Linked DNA regions of Pelodiscus sinensis. The protein of the gene in region 1 interacts with the protein of each later gene in a biochemical or structural test. Links are inferred from orthologs where the notes say so. Each region holds a gene or a part of one and is shown on either strand. Other genes may lie near its edges.

Region 1 (9,987 bases):
GGATGTTAAGGAACGGGTATTCGACAATTGTGTAGTCGATATTTGTATCAACTACACGATTAGTTAATATGAGGAGGTGCTCTGAAGAGCAGCAGCGTGGGTGGCTCCCAGCGGGACTGAGCAGTCCTGACTTGTGCCAGGACCACTGCAGCTGTGCCTCCCCTGCCCATACCCTATGCACAGCAGAGATGGTGCTAGGGGGGACCTGGTTTTTAAAGACAGCTCCCTTCAGCACTGGCTCCTGCTTACCTCCTCACCACTTGCTGCCTCTGATACAGAGACTGAGTCTATGCTCATGGGGTAGTCAACTGCTCAAGTAGTTGCTTACATCCCTAGTCCGGGGACCTACCCCTGCTGAGGATCTGCAATTTAAATGTAGAAGACACTGGGCTGCCTGCCTGCCCAGCTCCTACTGCATTTAAACTGCAAAGCCTCAGTGGGGGTAGCTCCTGGACCCAGCAAAAGACAAGACTAACTGCTTCTTCCCTTATCGACTAATCGTGTAGTTGATAAAAATTTATCATCGACTACACAATTAGCAAATTACCCATCTCTTAATATCCTAAATGCCCATGGATAGAAAATGGATTTCTGCACATTTGCTGTATTCTAGATACAAAAAATCTGTATTTGCAACAAAAAAAAAAAAAAAAAAAAAAAAGTTGCAGATGGGTATCCACATCCACAGATGTGTATGTGACTATGGATATAAAGCAGATATCCGTGGATTTGCAGGGCTCTACTTAGAAGGACAGAATGACAATGCCTTCAATTGTTCATTGCCCCTCCAAAGCCCTAAGGATCATGCCAGCTGGCTCCAAACAGAGTCCATCCAAATCTCCTTAGACAGGAGAGCAGCTGTGAAGTAGGAAAGCAGGAAGATTATCTAGGCTTCAGAGGGAACAGGGATCAGAGGAAATAATGTACTACTTGAGAATCAGAGATGTGAAACATTGCAATATGATCAATTTTACTTACCCAACTCTAAAAACATCAGCCAGTTTTAGGAATGCAGAATTAATGAGAATGGGGAATGGATATTTCTGAAAGAGCCTGGGAAAACGGACAACAGCTTCACATTGCTCCCCAAGTTTTCCAGACCTGAGGCCTATGTGAGAAAGAATAATTATATTCTAGCAGAATAGTTATGGTTTTCTCTATGATTGAAAAACTTGAGAGATTATCTAGAGTGGAAATAATATGGGGCATCAATGAAATCTAGCATGTGAGGTAAATTAGGCTATTCACCCTCTTGTAAAATATATTACATAATGAAATTGAAAAGCAAAACATCCTCAACTGGTCAAAAAAGAAACACTCCCCATACATGCACAATGCAGTTAACCTACAGAACACACAAGATACAATGGAGGCAGAAACCTTAGCTGGATATCTGGGGGAGGGGAAAGGATTGGACATTTATATGAATGAGAACATCCAGTACAGTTGTCCCCACCCTGAAAACACTTAAACGCACATTTAACTATACTCTCATGGACAGTCCCATTGAAAATTATAGGACTATTCGGGTGAGCAAAGTTACACATATGATATAATGTTTGTAGGATCATGGCCTTGGATAGGATAAAACATACATACATTCAAAATTTAAAATGTGCAAGGTAACGTTGATTTTTCTGAAAGTGAAGTTAAATATTCTCTGCAGAAAGAATGATTAAAACTGATATTTTTAATACCAATGTCTAACATTTCTATTGGTTCTTATCAGTTGAAAACTGAGTCAATCTTCTGTCATTAACAAGTGAGCAAAATAGTTTTAAAGCAAAACATATGTACTCATAATTAGCACTATTTAAAAGCTGTGCTAACTGTACTACTGTTTCTTTCCATACTAAGTCAGTTCAGGAATATGCTTGAGAAATATCACTGAGATATTAGATACACACAGTCAAAGGCAACAGAGCAAGCATACAATACAATGCTGCAAATTCCAGGCACTAACTTTCCATCAGTTCCTACAGATTTGAATCCATACTCAGTTTAGTTAATATGATTATTAATCATGTATGTTGCAGCAGCATGAGAAGGCTACAGACAGCTTGAGTCATGTTGTATTAGACAAGAACTTCATGTTAATAAGCAGGGCCCGACAAATAATGTGATCTACTCGCCACCGAGTAGATTACAACTCGTAAGAGCCGGCGCAGAGCACAGAACTGCGCGAAACCATGCAGCTGGCGAGCAGGACTTGCCACTGCTTGGCTAGCCCTGTTAAGTGTTCTCAAAACAAGTAATTTCATTCAGTCTATAGCTTAGAAGTGCTCCTCGATTCCTCACTAACATCAAGGCTACACCTACACTGCAGGGCTATGTCTACACTCGCGGCTTCTTGAGCGAGTAATATGCAAATGAGACTAAGTGTGGAATATCGCTGAGCCTCATTTGCATACCTAATGAGCCACCATTTTTTTTCCAGAAGAGGCTCTTGCGCAAGAAGGAGCGTCTACACTGCCCCTTCTTGCATAAGAAAAACCTTCTTGCACAATACCATTCTTCCTGTCAAGTAATAGGTGTAATTGCATTGCGCAAGAGGGTTTTACTTGCACAAGAGCCTCTTCTAAAAAAAAAAAAAAAAAAAAAAAAGGTGGCTCATTAGGTATGCAAATGAGGCTTGGCGATATTCCACACTTAGCCTCATTTGCATATTACTCGTGCAAGAAGCTGCGAGTGTAGACATAGCCCAGGCTTCTGGCACAAGAACTGTTTTGCAGAAGAGTTTTTGTGCAAAAGGTCTTCCTCAAGGGTGCGTCCACACTGCCACGTGCTTTTGCGAAAGAGATGCTTTTGTGCAAGTGTCTCCATGGCAGTGTGGACACTCTCTTGCATAAGAAAGCTCTGATGGCCATTTTAGCCATAGGGATTTCTTGCACAAGAAATTCATGTTGCCTGTCTACACTGCCTTCTTGTGGAAGAGCTCTTGCACAAGAGGCCTTATTCCTTGTGGAGAGAGGAATAGCTCTTTTGGAAGAAGCCCGGTTTTCCGACACCATACTGTAAATTTACTTGCACAAGAACATGAGTGCAGTGTAGACAGACACTCTGCAACTTTTTGCGCAAAAAGCCTGAAGCGTAGACGTAGCCTCAGGGTATGTCTACACTTGCACCCTCTTTCGAGAGAGGAATGCAAATGAAGACGTTTGAAATTGCCAATGAAGCTGGGATTTAAATATCTCATTTGCACATTCGCGTTATGGCGCTCTTTTGAAATAGCGCTATTTCGAAATAACAGATGCTGTTAAGATGGGTTTTCTCTCAAAATAACTATCTTAACAGCATCTGTTATTTCGAAATAGCGCTATTTTGAAATAGCACCATAACACAAATATGCAAATGAAGCATGGATGTTTAAATCCCAGCTTCATTTGCAATTTCCAATGTCTTCATTTGCATCCCTCTCTCAAAAAAAGGGTACAAGTGTAGACATACCTTTGCCAGGATGTGACACAGTTTAGGGTAACCTGGCCTAAGTTATCACCTCTTAGTTGGACTACAGCAATGCAACACAGATGGATATGAAACCTTAGGAAACCCCAATCGGTACAGAATACTGACTAGCGTTTCCTCAGCGCTGTGTTTATGGCAACCAACATCAGACTTATCCTCCACTCCCTACACTGTTCTAGTGATCTGACTGTATACCAAAGATAAACAATAGTAGGGATGTAAAATCCCATTTAAAATGTTGAACAATTAACTGGCCCAGCCATGCCAGGAACCTGTTAACTAGTTACCCGGTAAGCACTGCCTTACTGGCATGCTTGCCTTTACACCCATAGTCAATAGGTAGATTGGCTACATCTAGACTGGCATGATTTTCCACAAATGCTTTTAACGGAAAACTTTTTGCGGAAAAGTACTTTTTGTGGAAAAGCGTCTATGCCAATCTAGACACGCTATTGCGCAAAAAAGCCCCGATCAGGCAAAAGTCCTTTTGCGCAAAGGGGCCAGTGTAGACAGCTCAGATTTGTTTTGCGCAAAAGAGCCTCGATCACAAAAATGGCAAGCGGGGCTTTTTTGCGCAAAAGCACATCTAGATTGGCACGGACGCTTTTCCGCAAGAACACTGACAATCTCATGTAAGATTGTCAGTGCTTCTGCGGAAATACTATGCTGCTCCCATTTGGGCAAAAGTCTTTTTCTGAAAGACTTTTGCGCAAAAGGGCCAGTGTAGACAGCAGAGATTTCTTTTCCGCAAAAAAGCCCCGATCTCGAAAATGGCGATCGGGGTTTTTTTGCAGAAAAGCGCGTCTAGATTGGCCATGGATGCTTTTCCGCAAAAAGTGCTTTTGCGGAAAAGCATCCTGCCAATCTAGATGCACTTTTCCGAAAATGCTTTTAACGGAAAACTTTTCCGTTAAAAGCATTTCTAGAAAATCATGCCAGTGTAGATGTAGCCTCATTGTGTATCAAATCCACACCAGCAGACACTTTTGAATGGACCACAAAATCTCATTTACTTGTTATTGTTTGTATCAATTTCTCTGGAATCTGGACAGTGGCTATGTTTTGATCAGGACATTTGGACCTTTATGAAAAGTAATCGATTATTCCAGATCTAGATCCAAAAATATTTAAGGGCAGGTCTCCACTACAGAATTACTTTGATACATCTATGTCACTCAGGGGGATGAACCTCTGTGCATCATATTTGTAGCAACCTCAGCACCACTATAGGCAGAGTATGTGAGTAGCTACTGCCTCTTAGGTCACCCCCTCAATTTAGATCATCTTAACTAAATCACTACAGTGGAATCTGTGCTGATCGACCAACCAAAGCTTTAGAATGAAGACTATGGTTAACAACTTCTCTTTTCTGGCACAATCAGAGTAAAGCTCTGTGCAGGAAAGAGATTTCCCAGTCTCTGCAATGTCTATAAATCTATGCAATGAACTTTCACAGTAGCCAAGAGGCATCACAAGACACATCTCCATGGACTTGGCTGTCACTAAACCAAATTCAGGATGTGGTCTGACAGGTGCCTTGCCCCTGGGAGGCTGGGGACAGACTGCCTAAGCAGCAATTTGGCAGAAAAAGACCCGGGGATTGCAGTGGATGAGAAAAAGGCACAATGGTCTCAAGTTACAGTGGGTGAGGTCTAGGTTGGGTATTAGGAAAAACTATTTCACTAGGAGGGCAGTGAAGCCCTGGGATGGGTTCCCTAGGGAGGGGGTGGAATCTCCATCCCTAGAGGTTTTTAAGTCTCAGCTTGACAATGCCCTGGCTGGGATGATTTAGTTGGGATTGGTCCTGCTTTGGGCAGGGGGCTGGACTAGATGACCCGAGGTCTCTTTCAGCGCTGGGACTCTGTGAGCGCAGAGGGCAGCAAGCAGGCGCTGGGCGGGCAGGGCAGGGGGGAGGCAGGAAAAGCCACGCGGGCCGGAAGTCCTGCGGCTGCCCAGAGGGCGGGGGCACACAGGGCAGAGGCAAGAACCGGCGCGCCGCACGCTAGGGCGGCACCGATGGCAGGAGAGGGCGAGGGGCGGGCTGGGGCCTGTCTGGGCCTGGGCGGGGCGGTGTCTCCAGGCCGGCTCCCCGCCGTTAGCGCGCACCGCGCCAGACCGACTGAGACGGAGATTCCGCTGCCAGCGCGCGCATGCGCCTCCAGCCACGGCTAGGCCCTGCGCTCTCCTACCTTTGTCCAGCTCCATAAGGGCGGAGTTAGCATCCAGCTCTTGCTCGCCGTAGCCCGCATCTGCCAGGAAGGACTTAGCGCCGGAGGCCATGGCGGTACCCGCTCCCGCACTAGATCGCAGCACGACCTGTAAACCCACTGCGCAGCTACCTACGTGCCTCAGCCTCAAGTGCAATTGCGCATGCGCGATTGTCCGCACCACTGACCTATTCCCGCTCCCGCCACTACGTCCCGGGACGCATGCGCCCTCACGAGCTGCAATTTAGACTCGTACTCCCCGCCCCCAGGTCTGCTGCCCGTGTACAGTGATCCGCTTCAACCTACCACCTTAACCTCAGCGTCTGTAGCACCTAGCGTGGGGACTAGGGGAGAGGGAAATGGCTGCGGCCTCGGGCCCCGCCCCGGAGCCCCTGCCCAGTGGGAAGTAGTGGGTGTGGCCTCCTGCCCCGCCTACGTTGTCCTGTCCAATGGCAAGCGGGAGTGGAGTTTGGCGGGTAGCGCGAGTGGCGGGAGTAGACGCTCCTCTGTCCGTTTTGTGTCCCGGTCGCTGTGGGAGTCACTGGCCATGCTCTGCCGCTCGCTCCTCCACCGAGCCCGGGACGGGCCGCAGCGTGAGTATCGGGCCGCCCCAACGGGGACCGCGATCGCCTGGCCCGACCCTGCCGACCGCGGGAGCCCTGCCTGCGGTGTGCTGAGCCCGCAACTCCTGGGATCGCCTGCTCGGCTTCGGCCCGGCGCGAGGGGCTGGGTGCCGGGGCCCCGGAGAGGGGAAGGGCAGGCAGGTGCCAGTTCTTTCCCCGACGCATGGCTGTAGCTGTAGTGCGGCCCTGGTGCCTTCTCCGTCCTTGCTTGGCAGCCCCATCGCTGGGGCGCCCCTCTCTTTGAGAGATCACCCCACGGATGAGGCTCTCCAGCCGGGGGAGGTGCTCGCAGCTGTCCGCGATGGTGTGGGGATCGGGTAGACTGGCACGTCTCATGGGACGTTTCTCCCTAGATCGTTGTAGCTAATGGAACAGCAAATGCCCGGTACATGTAGATTCTTCTGTTTAGTGTTCAAACTATGACTAGTACTTTGGCCCCATGACGAAATGGAAAATCCCATCGACGTCCAAAAACCTGGATAAGACCTCTTACTGGAAGAAGTTAGTAGGTCTTATTGCAGCAACTCAAAATGCCTGATAAATGACAAAATACACATATTTTTAGGTTTGTCTTTGCAATATCCCCTGCAACATCTCTTGGATTGCTATGAGTGCAGTCAGCTAGATGACCACTTTTCTTATGGAGAGACGGGAATGCCAGTTCCTCCTTTCGGTTGCACCTTTTCTACAGGTAAGTGTTCTTTTTTAAAATCAAAATGCTATGCTAGAGCCCAAGCTGTCTGCACATAAATATGTACAGACTTTAATACGGCTACGCCCTGAAAGATATTGTAGCCATTTATTTTGAATATTCAGTTTCATAAAGAGCCCTTTATATCAGTGACAAAATAGACTAGACCAGGGCTACTTAACATGTAGCCTGTTTGTGGCCCACGGGTGGGAGCCAAAACAAAAAAGTACTCCATGTATAATGGTCTTCGGTTGATACGTGTTTTAGCAGTTAAATTCCTGGACTGACATTGCTCATTAAAAGTGCTGTCATATGGGTGGAAATTGGGTAAGTATTTCATTTTATTAATATCAGCAGAACTAACTTAAATGGGGCCTGTGTGTTGTGTAATCTTGCCTTAATCTTTGTATTCATGCCCCTCAGTGTGAAAAGCTATTTACATATATTTGGGGCTTCCAAAGTTGAGTAGCTCTGGACTAGACAGTTAATGACACATCTACCAGAGCAACTATTAAGAATAAGCTCTTAGGTCAAAATGTCCCTTGCCATTTTTCAGATATGGATGCTATATTCAAAAATCCATTATTTCTTTAAGGTAAATTGGGTAACACTATGGCTGTGTCTACATTGGCAGCCTTTTCTGGAAAAGGGATGCTAATGAGACACTTTGGAATTGCAGATGCTGCGGGGGATTTAAATATCCCCTGCGGCATTTGCATGAACATGGCTGCCGCTTTTTTCCAGCTCGGGGCTTTGCCGGAGAAAAGCGCCAGTCTAGACAGGATCTTGCGGAAAATAAAGCCTTTTCTGGAAGATCCCTTATTCCTGATTTTAAGAGGAATAAGGGATCTTCCGGAAAAGGCTTTATTTTCTGAAAGATCCCGTCTAGACTGGCGCTTTTCTCCAGCAAAGCCCCGAGCTGGAAAAAAGTGGCAGCCAGAGGCGGATTTAGGGCAGGGCGAGCGGGGCGGCTGCCCTGGGCCCCGCGTTTCCCGAGGCCCCACGCATGCGCCTTGGCACCACGGCGCATGCGCTGTGTCAAAGGGGGGGGGCGCGAAATTTTGCTGCCCGGGGCCCCGCGGAACTCTCATCTGCCCCTGGCGGCAGCCATGTTCATGCAAATGCCATGGGGGATATTTAAATTTGCATTTGCAATTCCGAAGTGTCTCATTAGCATCCCTTTTCTGGAAAAGGGTGCCAATGTAGACACAGCCTATGATTTAATTTGATAAAATAGAACTATGCAGCATGATGGACCATTGGCAGTATTATGGGATTGCTATGCATTTTAATAAAGTGAGTTCAATTAAAGCATTTAAATAAATGTACACACTTTCACAACTTTTGATTTCAGCCTTATTTGAGACAAAGTATGTCTTGTTGTGGCACTAAAACTAGGTCTGTACTAGACCCAGAAGGTCAGCTTAAGGTACTCAATGAAAAAAGTCAAGCTTGGTGCTATCTGCACAGGGAGAGGTTGATGAGAGCTCCCATCAGCTTCCCTTACTCCTTGCAATTACGAGAAGACCTGGTGTCCACTGGGCGGGCACCCTTGGTGTTCGATTTATTGGGTTCTTACTAGACACACTAATGCCAGAAGATCGATCTCCAGCATGGCAAGTGGAGACATGGCCTATGATGTTTGCAAATTTAGGTTGGTCTTTGTTCATAAGTAACTAGGATCAGGAATAGAGTGAGGAGTAGTAAATGGAAACGGATGAGAAGGAAGATGTGCTTCTAAAACCCATGTGCTTCTAAAACACTGGCCGCTTGAATTTGCGCAAGAGCACTGACGTTCTAATGTAAGAATTCAGTGCTTCTTGCGCAAATGCTTTGATGCTCCCGCTCAGGGATAAGCCCTCTTGCGCAAGAATACTTGCACAAGAGGGCCAGTGTAGACAGGCACCTTAATTTTTTGCGCAAGAAAGCCCGATGGCTAAAATGGCCATCTGACCTTTCTTGCGCAAAAGCGCGTCTATACTGGGCACAGACGCTTTTGCGCAAAAGCATCCGTGCCAATCTAGACGCTCTTTTGCGGAAATACTTTTAACGGAAAAGTTTTTCCATTAAAAGTATTTCCGCAAAATCATGCCAGTCTAGATGCAGCCCATGTGTATCACTTTCTTCATGGGTGACAGTTGCTGGCTTGATTGACAGGCCTGGATATTGAAATCCTGATCTGGAGGTAAATCACTGGCATTAGCTGTGCAAGATTTTCCACACTGTCCCTCCTGTCCTGTGTAGGGATGTTAAATTTCAATTGATTAGCTAATTGAATAGTCGATGGGATTTCCATTGTCTATTTGATTAGTCTATAAGAACTTCTGTGTTCCAGCGGGGACTCTTGTACATTTCAAAGTTGGCCACCACTGTGCCCCTGCCCCCTCCCACGGAGATGGAGTGAACCAGCTTGTAAGCCAGTTCCCTCCAGCATCCCTCCTCTTCCACCCCCTTACTGCCTCTTTGTGATAGCAAGGGGGGGAAGCGACTAGTTGACTAGTGTGTTGACTGTCGGATAAACTAATGACTCGTCGATTAGTCGCTTACATCCCTAGCCCTATGCCTAAATCCTGGCCTAAAGGAATTACCAAACTGTAGAGGATAGTTAATTTTTTATATTTATTCAACACTGTGAACAAGGTGATAGAAATGTAGCCATGTTAGTCTGGTGTAGCTGAAACAAAAAACAGGACTGTGTAGTACTTTAAAGACTAACAAGATGGTTTATTAGATGATGAGCTTTCGTGGGCCATACTCACTTCCTCAGATCAAATAGTGGAAGAAAATTGTCACAAATTATACCAAAGGGTACAATTAAAAAAATGAACACATATGAAAAGGACAAATCAAATTTCAGAACAGAAGGAGGATCGGGGGGAGGTAAATGTCTGTGAGCTAATGATATTAGAGGTGATACTTGGGGAAGCTATCTTTGTAATGGGTAAGATAATTAAAGTCTTTGTTCAAACTTAGGCGTAAAGTGTCGAATTTATGCATGAAT
Region 2 (9,550 bases), on another chromosome or scaffold:
GATCAGGGGTTTTCCAATGGCCTTCCTGTCACAGATTTCCAGTATGACATTGGACCCATAATTTAAGGCTTGGCCTCAATGGATTTTTTTTCCACTGATTAAAAAAACAACAGATAAGGAACGTAATTATCCTGTGCCTCAGTTTCTCTATCTGAAAAAGGAAGAATAATAATACTTTCCTGCCTCTCAGGAATTTGTGGTTTTAGTTCATTGGTTTTAGTTAGGTGTTTTGATGTCATCAAATGGAAAGTGCTAAGAAGAGCACTTTTGCAACGTGTTTTTTACAATTTCAAAATCTTTCTGCTTTATTTATGCAGTAGCCACAGCTCCTGGATTATAGAATTTCAATTTGGGAATGTATTGGATTATTCCTACTACCTTATGTGATGCTGGAGCAATTTATCAGAAGAGGCAGGGACAGTGAGAGCAGGGCTTCACCCAGCCTCCCCCAGCATCACTTATCAGAGGGCTAGTCAAAGATGTAGGTAGGCCAGCCACTTTATGCTGCATGTATGCTACAGCATTTGTAACAGCAGGTACCCTGTGCTCACCTGTCCTCATGTCCAGGTCCAGCTAGGTGGGACCAGGAAGAACAATAGGTGGCCAGAAGGAATGGATCTCCCTCCACCTGGGCCAGAGGAGCTCTTTGGAGCTTTCCCACAGCTAAGTGGCAACCTGTTCAAATTCTGTGCTGGTGTCAATGGGCCTCAACAGTCAGGAAACCCCAAAGTCAGGGTCAATGTCTGTTTTTCACAAGGCAAATGCAGCCCTCGAGGCCTAGTCCCAAAGTACAGTTCTCTCTACCCAGGGTAAATACAGTCCTGTAGGCCTAGTCCCAAACACACTCGTCTCTGAGTTACTGTGGCCTAGAGGCCTAGTCCACAGGTCAGTCTCCCCAGAGTGCCAGGGAATGGAATGGGGAGATAGGTCCCAGCCTCCAGAGCCCTGTTAGCAGTACAGGCTTTCACTGCCTTCTCAGTGTGGATGCCAGCCAAAGTGCACTGAGCTCCCAGAGGACAATCCTCTGCTCTTGGCCACTTCCTACCATCCTGGCACACTGCTCAGCTCTCCAGGTGTTGTTCAGCACGTCTCTCTCTCCCATGGCTGGAAAGAGAACAGGGCCTGGGCTGGGAAGCTACTGCTTCTCCAAGTAGAAGCTTCAATAACTGCCCATGGTGGAGGCTGCTGTTCCAAGGCACACAATAAGAGGGTTGTGGGGCTGATACTAGCACACGTGCAGTGAAAATCCTCCTGCAGAGTGTCTAATATGTGGCAGCCACATCACCCAGAAAGTGGCCAGGGGACACCATTTGCCACCACTCCAGGTAAGTTGTTCCCCTTGCCTCAAATCCTTTGTCCTCTCCCCCCAGGGAGGCTGCAGGAAAAGGAGTGGGGACTGCTGGAGGCTGGAGCCTGCACCTGGGGCCCTCTTTCCTATCCTGCTGACTGCCTGCAGGCCGCACTGGCCCCTGAAGGGCTGGATCAGTCCCCAGAACCTGTCCTCTTGCACAGAGAGCCTGCAGGCTGCAAGGGGAGAAGGTTCTGGAGGCTGGGACTGGCCTGCAAAGTGTTGCCTCCCAATTGGACAGGTTGCAGGGCAGGGCCACCCATGCAGCTCCGGTCTCCTACCAATCAGGAATTGCAGTCCCAGGCTGGCACCACAAAAGGAATGGCTGGCTGGAGAGTGCAGCCCTTCCCCCCCGGGTAAGTTGCCACCACAACAACACCACCCTCACAGTCCCAGTAAGCTTTCCCCCTTCCCCCTCCCCCAGCTTTCCAGCCCCCTGCTCTGAGTCCTGCAACTGTCACTCCCTGGCTTCAATCCTGCACCTCCACCCCATGCCAAAGCCCCACCCCCACATACTAGGGTTGCCAGATGGTTTCAACAAAAATACCGGACATACTTGACATGACATCACAATCGACATTCCATCTTATTTAGAAAATACCGGAAATTTCTATTTTCTCAATTTATTTCCCGGACAGAAAGCTCAAATACTGGACTGTCCGATTCAAAACTGAACACCTGGCAACCCTACCACATACCCAGCCCTCTGTCCTAGACAATCATGGAAATAACGCATGTACATCTCTCTATATAAACAAGTTTTTCCTGCTGCACAACAGAATGATATCATCAGCATATATCCCTCGTATAGCTGGATACCTGTGGTGATGTCTACCGGTTAAGGAAGTACTGTAACATGTACTACGTGATCAATAGACCAATTAACATTTTTTTCTATGTGGCTTCATTTGTTCACTTTTCTATATTATCAATGCAAGATTAACTGGCTCTCTGACCACAAAAGAGGCCAGAGAGAGGGGGCTTGGCAAGCATAGTGAGCAGAGTGTTTCCTTTTGATTTAAAAATAACCCGAACGTTACTAGAGTTAAAGACCCAAGCAACACCGGATACATCTGCCAGTTTATATTCCTGAATTAAACTTCCTAAAGCATGGAGAGGGGAATCATCACAGGTACCTTTTAGTGCCTTGTGAGGATTTGTGCATCCACTTTAGTGTCCCCATGTGGGTGCAGAAAGGGGGTGCAAGGGTTAGCAGTGAAGGGTGCAGGGATTAGGGCCCCAGGAGGGGAATGCAGGGGTTAGCGCTGCTGCTTTGCACACAGGAATGAGTGGGGACAGAAGCTGGGTCAGTGGGACTGGGAGAAGGAGTGAAGCTGTTGGCAACAAGGAGACAGAAGAACAGCCTGAATTTCTCCCTGCAAAGTGGAGACGCGAAGGAGGAATTGTGTGTGTGGAGGGGAGGAGAGTCCTGCCTACAGCTACAAGGAAACAGCAAATTAAAAGCAGAATAGGAGCAATGGATGCACTATCCCTCCTGGCTGAGTCCCACTGTTGGGCATCTGGCAAGGCAAGCTCCCCACTATAGGGGCAGGCCTCCAACCCATGTCCCTCCTTGCCAGGTGGTGCATAGCTCCAGCCTTTCCAGTCCTGGTACACAGGCAGGATGGAAGGCCCCAGACTCTGTTTGGCTCAAGTGCAGGCAGCCTTAGGATACTGGAGGAAGCTGTGCTAAGGCTCCACACAATCATTTTTTCCTCTCTCTTTACCTACTTGTCTCTCCTGCAGCTGGCAACATAAACATCAATGCCCCTTGCTTAGCAGTACAGAGCGGCAAGAAAAACATGCGCGAGACCAAGATGCCTCCACTGGAGAAGAAATGGCTCCTTCCTCTATGTCTGGATATGTGTGTGGTTGTTATGGACGGGACTAGTGCTGTCATTTTCTAAACGTCCCAGCATTCAGTAAAGGGTAAACCCACCCCACAGCCTCTTGTCATTACCAGACCCAGCAGTTTGGCAGCAATTCCCAGGGGGCAGCGGTGAATGAAGGAGAAGATGGCCAGGAAGATGGGGAGCCCCCCCGAGCCTCGCTCTGCCCCAAATCCCTCCTCACTGTGCTTCTGAACCAGGCACTCAGGTCCCCAGCCCTGCTCTAACCACTAGACCCCAGTTCCCTCCCAAACCCTGAGTGAGAACCCAGGACTCTTGGCTCCTAGCCCCCCTGCTTTAACCACTGGACCTAATTCTGGGATGGAAGTTGCATTTGCTCAACAGGACTGAGGCTGTGGACAGTGTTCCCTCTAAGATTTTCCTTCCATGAGTGGAGTGAGTTTTGTCTTGTGTGCCAACAATGAGGTCACTCATGCTTGTTCAGATGTGTGCCACTGTGGCACTCACCAGGGGTGCTGCTCCCTAAAAGATTCTCCCAGGTAGTGCCCCCCCATCTCTTGGGGAGAAGGGATGATGCGCCCACTCCAGGGAGTGCTACTCCCTGAGCAGCGTGTTTGCAGGGCAGGCACTGTCCCAGGTTGCTCCTTGCAGGGCTGGCTGTGAGTCCCCACCTGGAGCAGAAAGAAGCTGCTGCTAGCACCCAGGATTTTCGGGGATTGAGGTGCTGAGTGACATGTGGGGAACAGGGGGGATAGAGGGTTGGGGGACAGAATTCTGAGGGGCAGAAGAAAGGTGTGGGAGGGGGGAGAGAGGTGCAGGAGGCACCAGTCCCAGGAGCTAAAGCACCACTGCCTGGCTCCAGCTTTGGGCAGCCACTATATGGCCAGCCCAACAAGCAGTCAGGAAGCCACTTTGCGGCCCTGAACTCAGCTCCAGCCCTGGGGAAGGGTTAGGGCTGGAGCAGGCCCCAGCTACTGGCCTTGGCTGCCAGAGCAGCCCTGACCCTTCCCTCCCTCCACACACACAGCCCCACGCCCCCTGAGTCACCTCCTCTGAGCCACCCCCAGCCCTCGAGCAGGTCCTGGCACCCCATTTGCCCCCACCATGTGGCAGGTCTCAGTCCTGTCTGCCAAAGCAGGCCTCAACCCCGTCCCCTGTCACGCGGCAGGTCCCGGTCCCGGCCCCAGCCACTGGAGGAGGCCCTCCCTCGCCGCCACGTGGCCTCTGTCCCCCCCAAGGCTCCTCCTCACAATGCAGCCTCCGCCCCCTACCAGGGTCCTGGGTCCTCTTCCTTATATTCCTTTCTCTCCCCTGACAGAAGAGGGGCTAGAGGCTCCCTCCCTGACACCTGGTTCCCCTTTCCCAGGCTTCAGCAGAGCTACTGAGCATGCTCAGTAATCCTAAATTCTCCAAGAGGTAGCTGTGTTAGTCTGTAACTTAAAAAACTAAATGAGTGGTCCTGTAGTACCTTAGAGACTAACTCTCTCTCTCTCTCTCTCTCTCTCTCTCATCATGCGCTTTTGTGGGCACAACCCACTTCTTCAGATGAGTGGAGTCAGAGGGGCACAGAAACTTAAAATTTTAAAGCAAAAAAAGGGGGACAGAGGGAGGAGGGAAAAAACCTGTCCAGTTTCCTCCCTGCTAAATGAAGCTAATGGTGTAGGCTGTGTCTGATCCTTAGCTTTTGATGTAATTTGGGTGTTGAATATAACAGCCCATACAGAAATTATCTGAATCCCTAAATTCTCCCCAAGTAGCACAGTCCAATAGGGAGCCGCTCTGTACAAATATGGCCTGGTATATACCGCCAACTTAAAGCCCACAGCCCCACACACAGTGGCTAGGTTGAACCCAAAGTTGTCACAGGATCCAGAACGTCTCGCCCACAAGGCGAGGGAGACAAAGCTCCAATCACAGCCCCACGTCTCTTCGCGTGGACCAATCAGCGAGCAGGGGACGCACATTTAAACACCCTCACCGGGAGGCAGCCGCGCTGACTCAGATGGCTCCAATGCAATAAGGGAAGGCGGGACGTGTTCCCGTTGCGTTCCAATCAAAGCTCAGAGAATTGTGACAGGCACCTGGGGGCGCCAATCAGGCAGCGGAAGGTGAGAGCTCAGTGTATCTCTTTGGAGCAGTTCGACAGCCGTGCTGTCTCGGTGCAGCAGCCCCAGGGAGTTCTCCGACTATTGCCAAGACCGCCGGCTCCTGGAGCCATGGCTAAAGGTAGCCATCCTGACAGGTGCCAGGAGCAGGGTAAGCAAGGGGGCGGGGCTGGAGATGGGCAGGGGGCGCATGTGGGGTGGCGGCGCCGAGGGAGCCGTGCTGGCATGTGTGGGATGCGGGGCAGGGAGCGGCTGGGTGGCGGTAGCACGTGGGGGCGAGGGCGTTCTGAGGAAGGGCGCGGGCTGCGGGGTGTGAATGGAGCGGGGCTATCTGGGGCGGCTGTGACTTGGGGGGCTGGGACGCGGTGGGGGCTTGTGGGACCCGTGGGGGGGCAGGGGCTGGGACGCGGTTGGGTGACTCGGGGGGGGTCTGTCTTGCGGGGGCGCTGTGAGCGGGGCTCTAGGGAGACGCGTGTTTCCTTGGGAGGGGGGCTCAGCCCCCCAGCGGCCGGGCTGGTTTGTCTCCTCTCTCTCTGCTCGCCGCAGCGTGTCCTCGGCGGCTCCTCCCCCAAGCGGGGTGCGCGCTGGGCCGGCCCCGAAGGGGCAGGGCTGCCTGGGCTTGGCTCGCTGCACCGAGCCCTTGGAACATGGCGCAGGTGGCGGCGGCTTTGGCCGCTGCCGGCAAGTGAAGCAGGCGCCGGGCATGGCTCTGATGCCTCCTTCCCCTGCTCTCCCCTAGGCAAGACCATGCCCAAGCCCCGCGGCGGCAAAGCGGAGGAGGCGGCTCCGGAGAGCACCGAGCGGCGGGGGCCCGGCCGCCCCAGGATGAACGGGGTAAGCGCCCTGCCCGTCTCCCCCGCGCTCGGCAGAAAAGCAATTTCGTGCCCCTTCCAAGCCGGCCACCGGGCTGCGGAGGCGCCTCAGAAGCCGCCCCGGGAAAACGAGCCTAGGTCTGGGGAGCAAGGCAAAATCCCCTCCCCCTCCCAGGGCAGGGGGACGCTGCAGGAGCTGGGGGAGGCGGGAGAATATGTGTAGGAGTCCTTGTGATGCCGCCTCTTGCATCCAGCCTGGGCCTGCCGCCGCGCGCCCCAACTAAGGGGCGCCCTGAGCTGCTCCCCGCCCAAGCAGACGTGGCCATACGCAGCCCCTCCTGCTGGGACTCTGTACAGGCCTGGCTGCCGCTGCTTCCATCTGGGGAACTTGCCGCAGCGGCGGGCGCACTGAAGTCAATGAACCTGCTCACGTGAGTAAAATTACCCGTGTAGGAAGCTGCTGTTGCTGTTACTGCAGTAGCCTTCCAAGCCCTAGGCAGGATGCGAGAGTCACTCTAGCTTCAATCTTGCAAGCTGGTCCCCATTCATTGAGGCTTTGGCCAGGCTAAATGGTCTGTCTGTAGGAATCAGGGCAGCAGATGGGCCTATGGAAGCTGTATAAGCACTAACAATTAGTATCTCCCTGCCTGGAAGAAATGGCAGTCTTGGGTCCTCCAAATACTTATCCTCTGTGCCTGACTTCTAGCGTGTGATTAGTTGCATTGAAATTAAAGCATCTTTAAGTGTCCACAATCTTGGGACCTAAAGTACAGAATGAAGAAAACTATTTCTAGATAGGTAAAGGTCTTAAATGAGGGGGTATAGATATACACTACTCTGAGAGCCTTGAAATGGCCAGGAACTAATACAATGTTGCTCTTGGGTAAAGATTACAAATTACAGCTAAATCAGATTAAGGTGACAACATTTAAGCAGTTTATCAGTTTTTAAGTTACATATATGTTCCATAATAGGCTCCCTTTACATGTCATTGTTTATGCACCCTTATGTTCAGCTATGTGGTACATTTCATGCTTTACTATAAAGTTCCTTTTTAGTGAAAAATATTTTTTCATTTGAATCTGAAAATCTGTGGGGGGTTTTTTTGTGTGTGTGTAAGGAAATATAGGCAAGGCAATCTTACTTTTAGCTAAATTACATCAACATAATCATGACATGGTGGGATTGAAAATCAGAATTGCTACATAAAACTTAAGAGTCAAAGTGAGAGGGGGTAGTAGATAATGGTACTTCTCTAAGACCCCATATAAACCTTTCCCACACAAGTGCAGGGGATGATCATTCAATAAATCACCCTTTTCACTTTCTCTGAAGCATCTGGCACTGGCCATTTTGGAAACAGGATACTTGATGGGCCATTGGTTTGACCCAGTTTTGCCATGTTTACGTTCTTAGCTCACTGGAATGAGGCACCACTCATGGTGGATTGTCTTTCTAAATATGCGCATGGACTCTGTTGGACTCCTGGAGCATGTTTCACTCTCAGTGGGACTTAAATATGCCCGTGAGACACTTACCTGTGTTAAAGTGCTCTGCTGTGTTCTTGAGCTCATTATTGATTGAATAGATGGAGAAAAATTTAATAGAAGTTCTCTCCCAAACACCATCTTGTCATGATGCCAAAATGAAATGCTTTCTAACCTGCTCAGACAGTGTGCTAGAAACAATGCTGCTTAATTTTCCAATTGGTTAGACTGTTCTCTCTGATCATCTGTACCTCTGTGTACTGTATGTGTTGACATATGTTTTCCAATTGATTTTTTTTGAATGGGGGTCGTAGAAGAAACTCCAGATTATTATTATCAAAACGGAGGGTTTTTTAAACTAGCCTTTGATTTTTCTTTTTAATGCAATTTCAGGGGAAACATCAGCTTTCTAAATAATGGATTATATTGGTCTTTGGTCTGCACTAATGCAGAGAAAATCATCACATTGAATAATTATTCTGTTAAAAATAAACATTTGAGAGAGAAATGAGCACCAGATGCTGCTCTCTCACTAGCATTGCACCTTATGTTTAAGTCACTTGGGACTGGGTACACATCCCAAGAAAAGAATTTAGACCTGTACCCTAACACTTAAGTAAACTAACCTTATGCATTTATAGAATAGTGATAGAAATGTAGCCGTGTTAGTCTGGGGTAGTTGAAGCCCCCAATCATCACCTCTAATACCATTAACTCACAAACATCCCACTCTCCCTACCTCTAATATCAGTTCACAGACACTTACCTTCCTCCTCCCCCCCCCCCCCCCCCCGCATCCCTCTCCTGTTCTGCAATGTGATTTGTCCTTTTCATATTTGTTCATTTTTTTTAATTGTATCCTTTGGTATATATGGTTGTGACTACTTTCTTCCACTATTTGATCTGAGGAAGTGGGTCTGGCCCACGAAAGCTCATCATCTAATAAACCATCTTGTTAGTCTTTAAAGTGCTACATTGTCCTGCCTTATGTATTTAGTTTGTTTTTGAGGAAGTGTCTCTGAACAGACATTGCCATGCAAATTCTTAGCACAAGCTACAGGTTTAACTTCTCTAGTCTGGCACTCTCTGGTTTAGCAACCTCTGTGGTCCAGCATGAGTTCAGTTAACTGGATGTGCACTTATCATGGGTGTGGCCAAGTTTCCTTTGATCTCATAATGTTTGTTTACAGCTATCAGTCCTGGCTCTGTGTTCTTTGCTGTGATTTAGCTCTAATTTACTCCTACATCTTCAAAGAGCCAATAAGCAGTTGAAGTGTTAATAATGCTGCTAGACAATATTGACCTCCTGTGGTTCAGCAAATTCTCTGGTTAGCTCTGGACAGGTCCCAAAGCAGCCTAACTAGAGAGGTTTAACTTGTATTACTAATCACAGTCTGTGTCTGTGTCTGTGTCTGTGTCTGTGTGTGTTTAGATAAATGGATCCTCTGCTATTCAGATGCAAAATGTTACAGTTATGTGGGTGTTGGCCTATGCAGCATGATGCAGATAATTGGAGTCTTTGGGATTGAGATTTATTTGACATGAATCTTTTTTGGTTCTCTGTTTTAGGAGAACGTATTTGCTGGCCAGTCCAAAATCTACACCTACCTAAGTCCTAACAAATCTCCTGGTGCTCGTCCTCCACTTCAAGAGGAAAACTCAGTCATGCCTCATGAGGTGAAATGTCAGTGCAAAACACTAAATGAAACATGCAAAAGAGGAGATGGTAAGATTGACTTTCCACAAATTTGCTTGTGGGTTATTTGGCCCTGTGTCTGTATGTCTCAAACTTTCAAACTGGGATCTGAAATTGTACCTTTTTTTGTAGACTCTCTGCCTTCCCAGTAGGGATGAAAGCAACTAGTCGCTTCTCCACCTCCTTTGTTGCCTCTATCAGAAAGAGGCATCAAGGAAGGGAAGAGAAGGTAGTGCTGGAGGGAGCTGGCTT

Evidence for each region. The genes of interacting proteins can lie anywhere in the genome.
Region 2: the proteins of DTL (region 1) and KMT5A form a complex in vitro, tested with the Homo sapiens proteins (2 studies listed by BioGRID, with this or other methods). The link is inferred for Pelodiscus sinensis from reciprocal best matches to the Homo sapiens genes DTL and KMT5A.

What each region holds. Positions count from the first base shown.
Region 1 is NC_134713.1:146,924,271-146,934,257, forward strand, and holds the start of DTL (denticleless protein homolog), read left to right. Parts: upstream 1-6,133; 5' UTR 6,134-6,219; coding exon 6,220-6,265; intron 6,266-6,860; coding exon 6,861-6,986; intron 6,987-9,987. Other genes in the region: INTS7 (integrator complex subunit 7), read right to left, coding at 979-1,108, 5,655-5,745. UniProt on the Homo sapiens protein: Substrate-specific adapter of a DCX (DDB1-CUL4-X-box) E3 ubiquitin-protein ligase complex required for cell cycle control, DNA damage response and translesion DNA synthesis.
Region 2 is NC_134725.1:31,416,843-31,426,392, reverse strand, and holds the start of KMT5A (N-lysine methyltransferase KMT5A), read left to right. Parts: upstream 1-5,190; 5' UTR 5,191-5,414; coding exon 5,415-5,454; intron 5,455-6,042; coding exon 6,043-6,137; intron 6,138-9,171; coding exon 9,172-9,328; intron 9,329-9,550. UniProt on the Homo sapiens protein: Protein-lysine N-methyltransferase that monomethylates both histones and non-histone proteins. Specifically monomethylates 'Lys-20' of histone H4 (H4K20me1).